Lonchura striata: one gene and its partner. Each later gene encodes a partner of the first gene's protein in a complex. Links are inferred from orthologs where the notes say so. Each region holds a gene or a part of one and is shown on either strand. Other genes may lie near its edges.

What was found. Proteins that work in one complex are often made in the same cells at the same time.
Region 2: the proteins of SLC9A3 (region 1) and CHP1 are in contact, whole or in part, in a cryo-EM structure (PDB 7X2U), measured with the Homo sapiens proteins. The link is inferred for Lonchura striata from reciprocal best matches to the Homo sapiens genes SLC9A3 and CHP1. Residues at the interface, in NP_004165.2 of Homo sapiens: Tyr396, Arg397, Met398, Gln400, Glu402, Arg474, Leu475, Asn476, Glu477, Leu479, His480, Gly481, Arg482, Ala483, Phe484, Asp485, His486, Ile487, Leu488, Ser489, Ala490, Ile491, Glu492, Asp493, Ile494, Ser495, Gly496, Gln497, Asn501, Arg504; in NP_009167.1 of Homo sapiens: Arg30, Leu31, Arg34, Leu38, Lys40, Glu49, Phe51, Gln52, Arg53, Ile54, Glu56, Leu57, Ala58, Ile59, Asn60, Pro61, Leu62, Asp64, Ile66, Phe70, Phe83, Leu87, Phe90, Leu115, Phe117, Ala118, Leu121, Tyr122, Leu135, Leu139.

Annotation. Positions count from the first base shown.
Region 1 is NC_134603.1:84,099,194-84,106,288, reverse strand, and holds the start of SLC9A3 (sodium/hydrogen exchanger 3), read left to right. Parts: upstream 1-4,095; 5' UTR 4,096-4,241; coding exon 4,242-4,431; intron 4,432-7,095. UniProt on the Homo sapiens protein: Plasma membrane Na(+)/H(+) antiporter. Exchanges intracellular H(+) ions for extracellular Na(+) in 1:1 stoichiometry, playing a key role in salt and fluid absorption and pH homeostasis.
Region 2 is NC_134608.1:37,536,226-37,543,971, forward strand, and holds the start of CHP1 (calcineurin B homologous protein 1), read right to left. Parts: upstream 3,010-7,746; 5' UTR 2,848-3,009; coding exon 2,781-2,847; intron 1-2,780. UniProt on the Homo sapiens protein: Calcium-binding protein involved in different processes such as regulation of vesicular trafficking, plasma membrane Na(+)/H(+) exchanger and gene transcription. Involved in the constitutive exocytic membrane traffic.

The DNA of each region.
Region 1 (7,095 bases):
CGTAGGCTGTGTCAGTTTGTCATTCGTACTTCCCACTTCTGCTAGATTAGCTTCTAATCTAATATAAATGGGGGATTAATTAAAAACAGTAATAGCAACAACAACACACCAAAAACCCCTCACAATCTGCCTAAAATGTCTTACAATTTCAAAAATATTTGAGGCTAAAAATGAAGGTTCTGGGAAGAATCCCTTTCACTTGCTATCCTTAAAGTGAGTCTTTTCTTGAAATGAGTCATGATTAATTCAGCTAATTTCTTCTTCAACCCTACTTCCTATCCAAATCTATTTCCAACTATCTGTCTGATTAATTCATTCTCACCCTAGTCTTCATCTTGTTCACCTTAACTGGTAGTAATGTGTGTGGGCTGAATTAATAGACTTTCTAATGTAATTTCAGAGATTCATATTTATAATGTTGTAACACAGTGCTCTGCAACATCACTTAGTCCAGCAGTTTTTGTCCAACTCCTTGCAGCATAAACTTGCACAGCAGCACTCATTTAACTTGGAGAGTGGTTGGCAAAATATTAGCTGTTGAATCAAGAAATTCCCTACAAATTTGTGTGGTTCTGCATTAATCTGAATTAATTTTCACAAAACTGTGCTGTTCTATTGGTACAATTCCATTCACAATAACTACTGTTCTATTTAACTTTGTATACAGTTGGCATGATGGCATAAAAATATATACCGGAACTATATTCCACTCAAATCTTAACCTGTTTACACATTTAATAGACATTAATATAAAAAAGTGCATTTTCTTGAGGAAAGACAGGAGTGATAATAAGTGATTTATGATGATTTATATTGCATCAGGAGATTTTTCATGCTTCACTTGCCAAATATTTGCTATTTATTAATTTCTTTTTCCTTTTATAAGATTTCTCAGTTTGACAATGATGTGCTTCTTAATTTCATATCACCTTAAACAGATTTTTGACAAATGCTAATATTAAAAGTTAATTGTAGCTTCTACATCTAAATTAGCATAACTGAAATACTGTGTGTGCTTTCCAGAGAAAACAGATACAATTTTAGGGATTTTTTTCACTGAAATTGTCTTTTACCTTAGCTTTGACAAAATTGCCAAGAAATAGTCTTTACAGGACACAGGTCATGTGAAGGGTATATATAAGATACTTGTATAATACTTAGATACTCATAATTCTTTTCTTTAAGCCATTATGTACACAGTATTTCCAGAAATGACAGTGCTGGAGTTCAATCAATTGCCAAAAGAAAAAAAAAATAGAAGGCTCAGAAAGCACCATTATTTCTTCAGTAAGTAGAAATTTTCCTTGTGCAATCTTTCTGGAAGTCAGGAAATATCAGCTGTTTTGTGATATGATATCTTTATTGCAAGCATAATAAATACTCAGCCATTTTTTTTGTTACTGATACAGAGTCAGGTTATTGGAAACTATGTAAGGGCTTCCATAAAGAACATACAAGAAAATGGACTCTGATAATAAATACATATATGCAAATGTATTTTGTACAGGTACATATTTTGTACATGAGCTCATGTACTCAGTGGACTCTTGGTTTATTGTACATGTATTGGTGTACCTATTGGAAATTCATGATTGTCAGTCCCTTCCTATGTCCTCTCTGTGTCCTGCTGAAATATTAATGAATCACACAACAATTCCCTGATATTTACAGTCATTTGACACCCTGCCAACTTAAAAATATTTTATAAGCAGTCACAAGTGCACTTTGAACTATTAATTTGTTGTTCTTAAAAGAAATACTGTGTTGGCATTTTAACAGTGTTTTAAACCTTGTTTTTAGAAGATGGTGCTGACAACTTTTTTCCCCTAATACTGGTTTACTCCACCAGCAAACTCAGAATTGGCATGTAACTTTGGTTACTGTTTTCACGGGTAGAACATTGCCTGTGGGCAATCAGAGGCATGATCTCAACTGCTGCTCCTCCAAGCCTTTGCTTATCTCTAGAAGAGATCCACTGGAGAAGGTTTTCTCATTTTTCTTGCTCTGCTGCAGGTATTCTTGATCTATGACACATTTAATAATTACCATCTGGACAACATGGCTAGCTTCAGCACTTTCAATGGAAAGATTTTTTTCTAACCAGTCAGCATTTTTTGGAACTAGATTTGGGAAGAATCATGAATGTAAGATGGAATACTGGCAGTTGTGGTGCCCTTTTACTAGCTGCAGCTGAAATATTGAATTGTGGTATGAGGATACTTGGAACAAATTGTGTCAGTAAAAACACTGCCAACAGCTTGTCGACTGAAGTTTGTGGTTCTCCTAATAGTAGCAAACAGAATTCATGTTAATGACTAGGAAATAATACTCTCCATGGAGCTCAGCAACAGGTTACATAAATGATCAGCAGCTACCTACTTCCAGCTACAGTTTTCTCTCTCGACTGGCAATCCAAAAAAATGTTGCTTAGGCATTGGCTACAGCTAGTTGTGGGACAGTCACAGAGATTAGGAGCAAATTCTAAACAACATTTGGGTGCCCAAGTCATGCTCTGAAAAAGGTAAAAAAACGTAGATAGAATTTGTTGTTAGACACTGAAAAACTCTCCAGGTCTTTGTTTACAACATTTACTGAATGTAAAGGAGATATTTTGCTATGTGTCATGCATCCTAAAAAGACTTGCCAATTTTGTCTTCAGATTTACTTCCATTTAAAGAACTTCCCACATAGCTTCCTTTCACTTAAATAAAGAAGAAGGAAAGAAAGTCCCCAAGATGTTTCATTGTTTGAACACAGTTGGTCCAATTTGGGGGCTGTGCTTGCTTTGAGGTAATAATGACCATAACATTCCATGGAAACTTATAGAGTTAATTAACTAGCTAATTTTTTTCTGGAGCGTCTGTGCAGGACAGATGACTATGAAAAAGTGTGTAGGTTTTCTCCTTAGTGATTGAAATAATAAAAATATTTCTTTGTCTTCCAATAATTTTAAAGGAGTTAAAGGAGTCCTGTTCATTTTTTTACCTCTAATAAAACCAGTTGTTATATTAGAAAAACAAACAGGAAGTGTTTTTCCACAGACAGTCACAGAAGGAGCGGACTGCACACTGATTGTTTTGGAGTACACAAGAGTGGAGAGGAGCTGCTGCTGCTGTTGCTGAGGTGTGTGGAAAGGCGACCTCAGCTCTGCCTGTCGGGAACAGGATGCTTTGTTGTCCTTTTAGTGGCAAGGTGGTGATTATCATGTGTCCGTTTCCCTGCAGCGCCATGGACCCATGATAACATGGACCATCCAGGATAGCAGGCAAATGTTATCAGCAGGAAAACAGGCTTTAGCGGGAGAGTAGAACCTCCTAAAAGGTGTCGAGGTGTAAGCATTAGAAACAAGCAAAAACACATAGCGTTTTTAATACACCACATCTGAACAAACAGCTGTAAGCAGACCTAAGTGAAAAGCCTAATGTTGCCTGCTGGTGTCCTTTCCCGGAGCATCGTGGGAAGAGGTGCTCTCTGGTGGACAGAAGGAAAAGCTGGTCTGAGAAACGTGCTGCTGCGCCCTCGGTGTGCTAGATCGACCTCAGAAGGGTACTCGAGGCTGAGAAGCAGACAAGAGTGCGTTTTCTCTGTGACAACCTGTCGGGAGAGTGGGGCTGGGAGGAGGAAGCTGATACAAAAGCATCCAAAGTGCCCGAACTGAGGCCCGCGGATGTCCCGCGCACCCGGCTCCGGTGTGGACGCGGACCCCGGGCTCCCCTAGGACATGCCCTCGAGAGCGTCCCGGTCCCGGCTCCGAGCGCCAGCAGCTCCGGCCGCTGCTGTTCGCTGCCCAGCTGCCCGGGGCCGCACGGACACAGCCCAGAGCCTGCGGCTGGCCCCGCGGCCGAGCGGAGCTGAGCGGAGCTGCCCGCCGACCCCCGGGCGCTCCGTCAGCCGGGGCATCGCCGTCCCCGCACGGCAGCCTCTGCGGGAGCGGCGGAGGCTCCGCCTCCGCCCGATCGGGAACGGCCTGATAAAGGCAGGTGCGGGCGAGCAGCGGGACCCCGGCTCGAAGCATCTGCTTGTGCACGGAGCCCCTGAGCCGTCCTTCGCCACCCCGCGCGGGGCGGGACAGGAGGGGACACAGGGGACCCTGCCGCCGCCGGCCGCGCGCGCCGCTGTCCCGCCGTCCTGAGCCGTCGGGCTTGTCTCTGCGAAAGGACAAGGACCTCGCCCCCAAGGACCTCCGAAGAGGCGGGATCTCTCCGGGAAGGGGAAGCAGGATTTCGTAGTGTGGCTTGAAGATGAGGCAAGTATCTGGAGTGGCGCTCCTCCTGGGGCTGATGGCTCTCCCAGCGGCGCTGGGACAGAGAAGCTCGGAAAGCCATAAGAATAGCAACCAAAGCTTTGCCATCGTCTCTTTCAAATGGGATCACGTCAAGGAGCCCTATATCATTGCACTCTGGATACTCGTGGCTAGCTTGGCCAAAATCGGTAAGTCTGGAGTTATATATTAATACATGTCCTCTCCCTTTCCCTTCCCCCTTGCCCTTCTCCCACCCAGCGTAAATGAAGAAAGCTTATCATAGGTCCGCGGACCCGTTTTCAGGGGGTTTACTGTACTCTGTCCTGATTTCATAATACTGCCCTACACGGTGCTTAGCAGTGTGATTTTCACCAGCCTCGAGGGGTTACCCAGTTCATTTTCACCGCCCACGACTCTGTCTTCTGCATCTGACTCCTTGTAAGCCCTTTCAATTCCCTGAGACCTTGCATTCCTCTTGCTCCCAGGAAAAACTTTTTGCAAAAGTGAAACAGAAATCGGGCCTTACTGCTTACACAATATCTATTGCACTTTATGATATGCTTTTCTTCTGATTATAGTCGTTAGCTATATCAGTTGGTAACATCAAAAATAACCAATGCAAACTGCACATATGAGCTTAACATTCTCTGTTTTGAAGTGCATTGCTGGATCAGTGAAAGAGCATCCTTTATAGAGAAAGACAGTATGTATTATCAGACCATCTGATGTACCTGAAAAAAAAAAAAAGCTTTAGAGCACCCAGAATTTTCTTCAAGAAATTGGAGTAAGTGAAAAGCCAGGACTTAACCTAACTTCAGTGTAGTTTAAATTAATTTATATGAATGGTCCAACTCTTGTGTTCTGAACTTTGTGACTTTTCCAAAAGAGATCTTGTATCAATAATGCAGTTTGCTGAATGAGAAAAGTCGCCGTTTAATTAGAATGTGTTTTACTTGGTTGATGCTATTACTTTCAGACCTTTTGACTTTGGATATCTAAAAACACATCTCCAGTTTGGCTGATACTGTAAATGACATTTTCATTTAAAATAAATATTTTCTATAATCAGTCTCATCTCAGAAGGTCAGCTGAAAATCCAACTGAGGACTTTTCTGAACTTGTACTGTTAATACTAATTTGGTATACCAGAATCACATTCTGTAGATTTTTCATGCCACAGAGAATGAAAGATGTAAAAAGGTATACTTAGGTATATCTTATCTAGCACATAAGCCAAGCATAATAAGACCTGAATGGAAAATGCTGTCTCCAAACACAAAAAAAAAAAAAAAAAAAACCAGCATTTTAAAGAGTAGTGTGTTACAAGTTGGAGTGATATTGTACATAATTTTCCAGCAGTATTTGCATCTTGGCTTTTACTTGATTAACCATAGATATATTACTAAATACCTTTATCTGAACCTGTTTGACTACACTATGCAAATAGTTTGTCTTCAGACACGTGCTGCATCACCTAGATTACATAACAGACAATTGTGTTTTACTTTACTTTTATTGATGAGTTATAGCAATTACGAAGCTGAGGAAACCATATACAGGAAACAACTGACAACTGAGTACATATAAAATTGTGCTGAACAAAGTAATAAACAGGCTGCTTGTTTGAACCTTCTTTTTGAGATACTCTTCTAAGTAAGTATAGTTATTAAGACCTTGTGCTATTTAGGCTTTGCTGTTCGGTACATGTGGCCCAGTTGTACAGTGTAGTGTATTAGTGGTGCACAACCATATCAGTTTGTGTCTAATGCCACTGAACCCAAGAAGAGGACAGTTAGATTGTACTATATTTCAATTGCAATGGCATGGATTGAGATTGGTTGAGATTAATATGAGCCATTTTACTGTGAAGTCCTTGATATAAACTCTTGATAAGGTGCTTACTGTTGTGGTGCTGATACTGTTTTTAAATTCTTTTTAAATTCTTAAAACAGCTGCACAGAGCATGTCACTCATTAGAAGATCATACCTATCATCAGCTCTATCACTTTTCTTCCCCAAAGCTCTCAAGCTTCATTTGTCTCTCTCTTCACCTTTGCATTTTTGATCCTATATTTCTCTGGGCATAGTTTCTGAAGAAGCAATGGATAACTGCTGTATTCCCCTGAGAGCCTACAAATGTCTATGCTTTCCCTACCAGTCACAAATAACACACAGAAAAGCAAGAATGTACACTCACTGTTCAACACCTTTTTAATGAAGAAATCATTAAATGAATCATTTAAAAGAATCATTAAAAGAAATCATTTAATGAAGGTGTTCATGTAAGCGAGAAAGGGAAAAAATAGCTTTTCAGCCTTCTGTTTGCCTTGGTGTGTCAAGGGTTTTGGGAAGTAGGTCAGAAATCTATGAGATTTTGAATTGAAAAAGTCCTGTGCTGGATCAAAGAAAGTTTACATTTTCAAAAAGCAGACCAAAAAGAAGCAAGAAAGAAAACAGAACATCTGTCCTTGGGTTTCTTTACTACCTGAAGCAGATCAGTTGTAGTGGTGTGAAAGTGCTGGTTTTACTGTAGGTTTTTCAGCAGGGAAGGAGCTGTTCTTACACATGCAAGCTCATTTCTCCATGACTACAGGGATTGGGAGTTATTTTACTGATGGATGATAGACAACTGGGTCATTAGAAAATGTTCTAAGAATTGCAGCTTGTACCTGGGGATAAAGGTATATGAGAATACTTTGATTTCTCTTGAATTAGAATAGCATTAGTGGTTTTGTGTTTATTTGGGTTTTTGTTGGTTTTGTTTTTTTTTTTTAAGATTTGTTTCATTTCTGTGGAAGTTCAGGGGTTTTGTAATAAACAACTTTCACTTCATGATGTTATATGACTGGGGG
Region 2 (7,746 bases), on another chromosome or scaffold:
CAGTCTACAACAGTAGCATAAACTCATATAAAAATATTTATATGCTTAGAAAAATATATAAATATCCATTAGAAAAATCAATTATGTGCTACTAAGCAAACATTTTTTTCTCCTAAATTAATGTATAAGCATTAATTTATTATTAATCCTTAGGTAGAGCGCTTCAAAGCATGGAAACAAAGGGTGTGAACCAAATAATTTGAATACTGTTACATTCCAACAGCTTTCCAAAAGCTTGCAACAGAATGCAGACAAACAACATCTTGGGCCTCTCATCTTTTTTTTTATTTTTTATAGTTGTTACTGAAATATCAAAGCAATTAGGATGACTTCAAGGTGTTTTCATGCTCAAATTTCAAAATGTTTATATGCAAAGCAAATGATTTCTAGATAACATCATGTGAGATTTAGGACTGTCAACTTCAGGCTTCGCACCTGCTGCTGAGAACCTCATGCATTACCTTTGCACGTGACTGAACTTATGCTACAAAGTGCTTTTCACTACCACAAAAAAAAAAATAGAATTTTAATCCAAGCATATTTCATTCAACAGATTGTGTCATTGCATAGCTTTTTAAAGACTATGCTTCTAGTGCCCTAAAAGACATGCTCTTTATGTCTGTTCTGCTGAAGAACATTAACATACAGTTTCTCACTCATGCCAGTATCATTAGATATTCAGTTTTGTGCTACATGAAATTGAGCAGAAGTTACATAATTCCACAGTTGAACTCAATCGAATTGTTTAAGTGTTCTAAGTGCTTCACACCTACCCCAGATGAACTGTAGAAAACACATTTCACAGTAAAGAGGCCAAAAAGGAATCCTTGGGAACACTTATCAGACCATCAGTTCAAGATGGACTTTTAATGCTGACAGATTTTTTTTATGTCTACGAAGTCCCTTTCTCAAACTCTTCAGTAGCTAAAGTACCATCAGCGTCAAGTTTCCAACAGACCACAGAAGTCTATTCAGTAACACTACCTTAGCAATCTGCCTGTGAACTTTGATCTAGATAACCAGAGTTTATTTGGGTTTTTTCATCACCTTGTATAAATATTTTCACCTATATGAAGTGTATAACTGTGATAATAACTTGGTGGAATTTTCCATCTACCTAGAGAAGCACAAAAAGCAGAAAAAAATGACATTCCTGAACTGCAGTTACAGACTGGGGAGAAGAAGAAAATTATTGATAAAGTCAATGAGACACACTGTGATTATTTACAAGCAAGCATGAGTCAGAGAGCAATGGTTGGTTAACAAAGTGGTATTAATTATAAAATTTACTAGATTAAAACACGGGAAAACGAACACACATCAGGTCACAAAGCTGAAACCCACCAGTCATAACTTTGCTCATCCTCTGATGATACAAGAAAAGCATTTAGAGGCTAACTAGAGTCAAGTGGATTTATTGCATACAGTGCCTATATAGCCATCTTAATGGTATTTATTTAACTATCACGTAAGTAAACATTAAGGAATAAAACACCACAGACAATAAATTAAGTAGTAGCATGAGGAAAAATGTAAAGCCTTCTGGAAAAATATTCCAGATTTGGGGTTTGGATTTTGAAGCATCTTTATAAATGAGAGGATGCTACCTTTACTCCATGATCTTTGTTATTAAAAAGAAAAAACAATAGAAAGTTATTGCTGAATAAACAGACATTCCTACTTGTTTATCACCACATTTCATGACAGATGGAAAAAGGATCATGGAAAATATATTAACTCACTCAGCCTGCCACTACAGTAGTTCCAGTGACGTTTTAATCTTCTACTCTTTTTCTGTAGCCACTCATTTTCCGGACACAAATAAACTAACACTTAAGAAGAATATATGATACCATGTATATTGGAAAGAAAACTGAAGAAAGCATTTTCAAGTAGAAAGAATAGATCAGAAGGTATATTCAGAAGAAAAATTGTCAGCTGGGCACAGCATGTTAACGTGAGAAGTTTCCTGGGGAAACAAACAGCAAAGTGATACCTGTGATGTGATGACCTCTGCTCTCCAGATAGTTAGGAAGGCATCCTCCATTTATTATCATTTGCTGGAACTCTCAGGCAATCATTCTATCAGGCAAATTAACAACACTGGAATTTCACCTTCTCTAAGGTACTTTATGCAGAACAACTTCATCATACCGTAGGGTAAAGTATCTAAATATTAGAGTCCAGCTTAAATAATGCTCTCCCAGTTGCTGACTAGTACAGGAATTTTCACTTCTTTTTAGTTTTTAACACTTACCTCTCGTGAGTTACATTACTTCCTTTACGGTTTAAATGCCACACAGCATTCATTCCGAGTACCCTTACGGCAACTTTAGCACTAGCCCATGAAACAAATAACACTTTGGGGAAAAAAATTACTATCCAACGACAGTTTCCTTGGGTTAAAACCTGAGAGAAACTCCGGCATCAGGCATCGAGACAGACAACTCTTCAAAACCCAAGGAGTTATCTCTGACCGAATACACTACTGCACACACCAAGAGCGCTGCTTCCCTTCAGTCCCACTGGGATCCCGCAGCTGCTACCGGCAGCAGCGGTGGGGGGGAACCGGGAGGCGCTTCCCAGGCTCCCGCGGGCCTGCCAGCCGTGCCCGGCCCCGGGGCTGCGGGTGGCGGGGAGCGGGCTCTGCCCCGGCGCGACCGCCGCGGCCGGAGCGGGGCACGGCCTGCCCGGCCCCGCTCCGGCCGCCGGCCCCGCTCCGGCCGCCGGCCCCGCGCTACCTCCCGCCCCGCCCCGCCGCACTCAGGCCCCGCACTCACAGCCCGTCTCCTTCTTGATCTCCTCGATCTCCTCGTCCCGCAGCAGAGTGGACGCCCGGGAACCCATCGCCGCGGCTGGGCCCGAGGGGAAGGGAAGGGAGGGGCCGGGGGAAGAGCTACGCAGCCGAACAGCAGCGACGGCGGCGCCACAGCCGCCCGGCACAGGCCCGAGCGCGGCCGCCCCTGCTCTGAGGCGGAAGGCGAGCGCGCACCGACTGCCGCGGCCCCGCCCGCCGCCTCCGCCCGGCCCCGCCCGACCCCGCCCGGCGGCCGCCCACGGGCCCCGCGCACGCGTGTGGAAAACTGCGATATTCCTGTAGGCGGCGGGAGAGCGGGCGATGGAAGTGCCTGCCACGGTGCTTCCTTCCCAAGCGGATAGCGGCGCCCGGTTCTGCGGGCTTGCTTTGTTTTGCAAATCGCAGAATCACACAGTGGGTGAGGTTGGAAGGGACCGCAGTGGGTCAGCTGGTCCAAGCTCCCTGCTCAAGCAGCACTTGGCACAGGATCCCATCTAGATGATTCTTGAGTATCTCCAGTGAGGGAGACTTTACAACCTCTATGGGCAGCCTGTTCCAGTGCATGGTCACCCACACAATATTTTTTCCTCATGTTTAGGTGGAACTTCTGTGCATCCATTTCTGCCCATTGCCTCTTGTCCTGTTGCTTAGCACCGCTGAGGAGAGCTTGGCTCCATCCTCTGACACCTTCCCTTCAGATACTGATAGACATTGAAGAAGTCCACACTCAATCATCTCTTCCCAAGGCCAAACAGGCCCAGCTCCCTCAGCCTTTGCTCATAAGAGAGAAGCTCCAGCTGACCATTCATCCTCATTGAACTCCACTGGTTGCTGCGGGAGCTCCACTTCTCTCTTGTACTGAGGAGCCAAGAACTGAACACACCTCTTCTAATATTAGCAGTCACACCAGGGCTGAGTAGAGGAGCAGAATCAATCCCCTCGATCTGCTGGCAGTGCTCTTCCTAGTGCACAGGACACCGTTGGCCTTCTTGGCCACAAGGGCATTGCTGGCTCATAGCTTGTTGTCCAACAGGACCCCCAGGTCTTTCTCTGCAGAGCTACTTTCCAGCAGGTCAGTGGTAATGATAAGCTTTTACCCCAGAGAGTGGAACCTGATGTATGTCTCTATTTTTTCCCCTCCTTCATGTCAGTGAAGAACTTGGAAACTGGCAGAAGCACTCCAGGATTAAGGATAATTTTTGGTCATGGAATAGTCAATGGTGAGGCTTCGCTTATTGCATTTTGGGGCAGGGGGGTCATGCCCACCAATAGTTCAGCATTTTAAATCCCTTTTGGGTCACATCTGAATTATTCAGTTTTATTTTTTCCTCCTAAAATCAGCAGGAATTAGAATGGTGTCTAGATCACACAGCTTTTGTTCCCCAGTTATCTATAAATGAAATAATAATAACATCAGCTCATTTTGGGAAGGTCTTGGGACTGTATTGCATTAAAGCTTACTGGTTAAATAACAATGGTTAATGTCCAATGAGACTGCTAATGAAAGTAACTCCTCCAAAGGTATTCAGTTGAGATAAGAGTGCCCCCTGTTTACATCTTTAAGGCAAGTTCATTGTATGTTGCTGTACATGTGCATGACTTTCCCTTATGGACTGTGCTGGGAAGTTAAAATGTTTAAAGTTCATGTTAATTTGGTCTTACTTTTATTCACACAGGCAAAAACATCTCTATTAAATGATCTGTTTATCTGAGCCTTTTTCACTAATGACATAAATATGGAAGTATTTAAGAAAAGCATTTCTAATGTATAAAGGTCCTGTGCATTTCTATTGGCATCTGCTTTGTTTTGGGGATAGGAGCAAAGTGCCGAGGGCCAACTAGCTAGAAGGCATCTACTGGACTTACCAAGTGATTAACTTACTTCATTCTGCCTTTTTTTATGTACTTGCTTTAGTCTATATCCAATAGTCTGTAAATTTATTAGTTGTAGTTCAATGCTGGCTTTGTTTCTGATGGGATGCTTAAGTCATTAGACTTAACTAGTCTTTAACAAGTGTCCAAACATTGATTTTCAGCACTAGAATGTAAATTGTTTCTGTTATTGAATTAACCAGATTCGGGGAAGGGAACAGCAATGCTTTTTGAGTCTATTGAAATACTTCCTTTCTTTCACAGGAGGAGAAGGGACGGGAGGTACATGTTAGGGGAACCACAACTGACATTGACTATAAATCTCATTTTCAAACTCAGTTGTGCTAAGTTTGTTTTCCTCAGCTCTGAAAAGGTGAACAAGGTGGTGGGTATAAGGCTTCTTCCAAGGAAAAAGTCTCCTCCAAGGTATTGTTTACGATTCTCTCTTTTTTTAGTTTTGGTTGATTGGTTGGTTTTGGTTTTTGTTTCTTGTTTCCTGGTAGTGTTCCTAGGTAGAAGAATTTCCTTGGTTTGTTTTCTTGTCAGCTTGTGGTTTCAGGGAAAATTTCCTATGAGCATTTCACCTGTGGTGGAACAGTTCCAGAACAATTGCACGGAGAAGTCAGAGTTATAGAGATGCTCTCAAAACCTTTATAAGTGTGTCTTCAGAAAGCTAGTAAAAATATACTTCAAACTCCTGCAGAGCCATGCTCCTAAATGCTTCTCACAAGACCACATTTTAATAGTTTATTCAAATATTGTTGGAATCCTGGATGCTGAGAATTTAAAACTTTCTGTGCTTAAAGACACAGACCCACAGGAGAACACTACATTTGTCCTGAGGTTGTGGAACAGGCTTTTAAAATTTATAAATAGCACTGGGATTACAGGTGTGCAGGTGGTTAGAAGTCTGTAATATCACTGGGTGGAAAACTTAGAGTTTGGGATTTTAGAATATAGAAATAAATATGAAGCAAGATGGAGGTTTTAGGGCAGAGGCAGGTTGTTCTTCTTCCTTCTTCATGGGTTTGGGTGGTGTTTTGTGACTGAACAGAAAAGTCCACATTGCGGACTTCAAGGGATCAGTTATTGGGTTAAAAGGGAAAATAATCTAGGTGTCCTTTCTTAATTGGATAGTTTAGTTTTAAAAGAACTTGTAACAAGAGTTAGCCATTTTGTGCCTTGCTAATGAAAAAGCTGCCAAACTCACAGTACTGAGACTGTAACATAGATAAGAAATAATAAACACCTGAGTCTGAACATGAAATACTGTCTCAAGTGCCTTTAATCCCAACCTCGAGAAATTGATAAAATATTGTATTTCTTCTTATGGTCCTCTGATGTTACCATTTTTTATGATTTTAGTAACTTCTATTTGACTACAGTAAAGTTTCAGTGATGCAACTGATGCAACTGAAACTTTTTTTCATATTGTTGAGCTTGTATAATTGCCCTCCAATTACTCTACCTAACTAATAGTTGAAATATTATTGATTCAGGGTAAAGACCTACAGATATTTAATTTGCATTGTTCTTGGGCTCTGGTCAGGTACTTCATTCTTTGTACCTTGAACTGCAGTTTACCTTAAGACTGTTGCTGATCTTTGCAGTGAACATCTGTTCAGGTTCTGCTTTCACCTTATATTTTCAGAATAAATGTGAAATTTTATCTGAGATAAGGGCTTTTTTGTGGAAAATAAGCTTATGGTTGGCTAGCTTCAGGGTCTTCTGTAAGAACCGCTGAATTAAGGAGTTGCTTCATATGCAGCAGTTCATTTTCTGAACAGAGGCAGAGGGTATTGCATTAAATATTTCTCTTTCACATTGCACCAGCATGAACATTTTAATAATGTTTTGACTTCTGTGTTAGGTTTGGTTGTCTTGCTTGCTCAGGTGCACTTTAAGCTGAAGAAGTGAACAAACAAGCAGACACAGAACCAAGCAGATTGTGGCTCATGGAGTTCTCCCTGTGTTTCCTTAGAGAGCCATCTCAGGGCCTCAGATAGCTCAAAATATTCCCTCTGAGGTAATGTGGATATTAGCCAAGAAATGTACTTCGTGTTTGTCAGACAGCATTTTTCCCACAGATTGTTATCTCTTGGTTTGTCTGTATCAGAACAAGATGTATTCTGAGAGAACAATGGTAACAGAAAGGTAAGTACAGACCTTGTTATCAGCAGACATCAGAGGGAAACTGGCCTGTTTTCCAAAATGTTTATCCTGTAGCTCTTACCAACTGTAAAGGTGGCTGAGGAGTGCAACTGATCTTTTGGAGAAATCAAAGTGCTTCAGCCGGTGAGCATTCCTCTTGGTGACTATTTTAATCTTATACTTGTTCCTGAAACATACGTGGCATGACAGATAACTCAAAGCTCAGTAAGTCAATTTGTAGGCACACAGTTTGTGGTCATTGGGAGTGGGGCTGTGGCTGAGCCTCATCCCCAGTGGGCTACAGCTGTGAGAAGCAGGGGAGCAGCACTGACAGCAATGAGCCATGGAGAGCCCAGGTGCATTGACCAACCACCAAAGGGAACAGAAGGCACACAGGTGCACTCCATGAACAATGAGGGGTATAAAAGGTTGGGCTGAAGAACAAGAAGGGCAGATGCTTGTAGCCTTCTGATATGGTATGGTGTTACTCTGGGTGAATGCTTACAGTCTTCTGAAATTGTGTGGTGATGCTCTTGTGTATTGTGGCTATCTACACTGTGGTATATGCTGCAACAACTATTGCCCTTTGGATTTGTGCTGGCTGTCAGGTGCTGATTTGGTTGTATGGTTCCTGCTCTGACACATATGCAGGTGTGTACTTATACAGGCACAGATCCAAAATCAGCTTCTTCTGTTCTCAGGGAATGGTGGCAAGAGTGCAAGGGCTGTATAGACTAAAGAACAGGTAGTTGCATTTACCTGGCTAATGGGATTGAAAATGGAATCATAGAATGGTTTGGCTTGGAGGGGACCTTAAAGATCATCTAGGTCTAGAGACACCTTGTATAAGACCAGATTGCTTAGAGCTCCACCCAGCAGCTTTGGTTGTGAACCCCCCCAGCAGGGGTTGTGTACCTGTTGGGCTC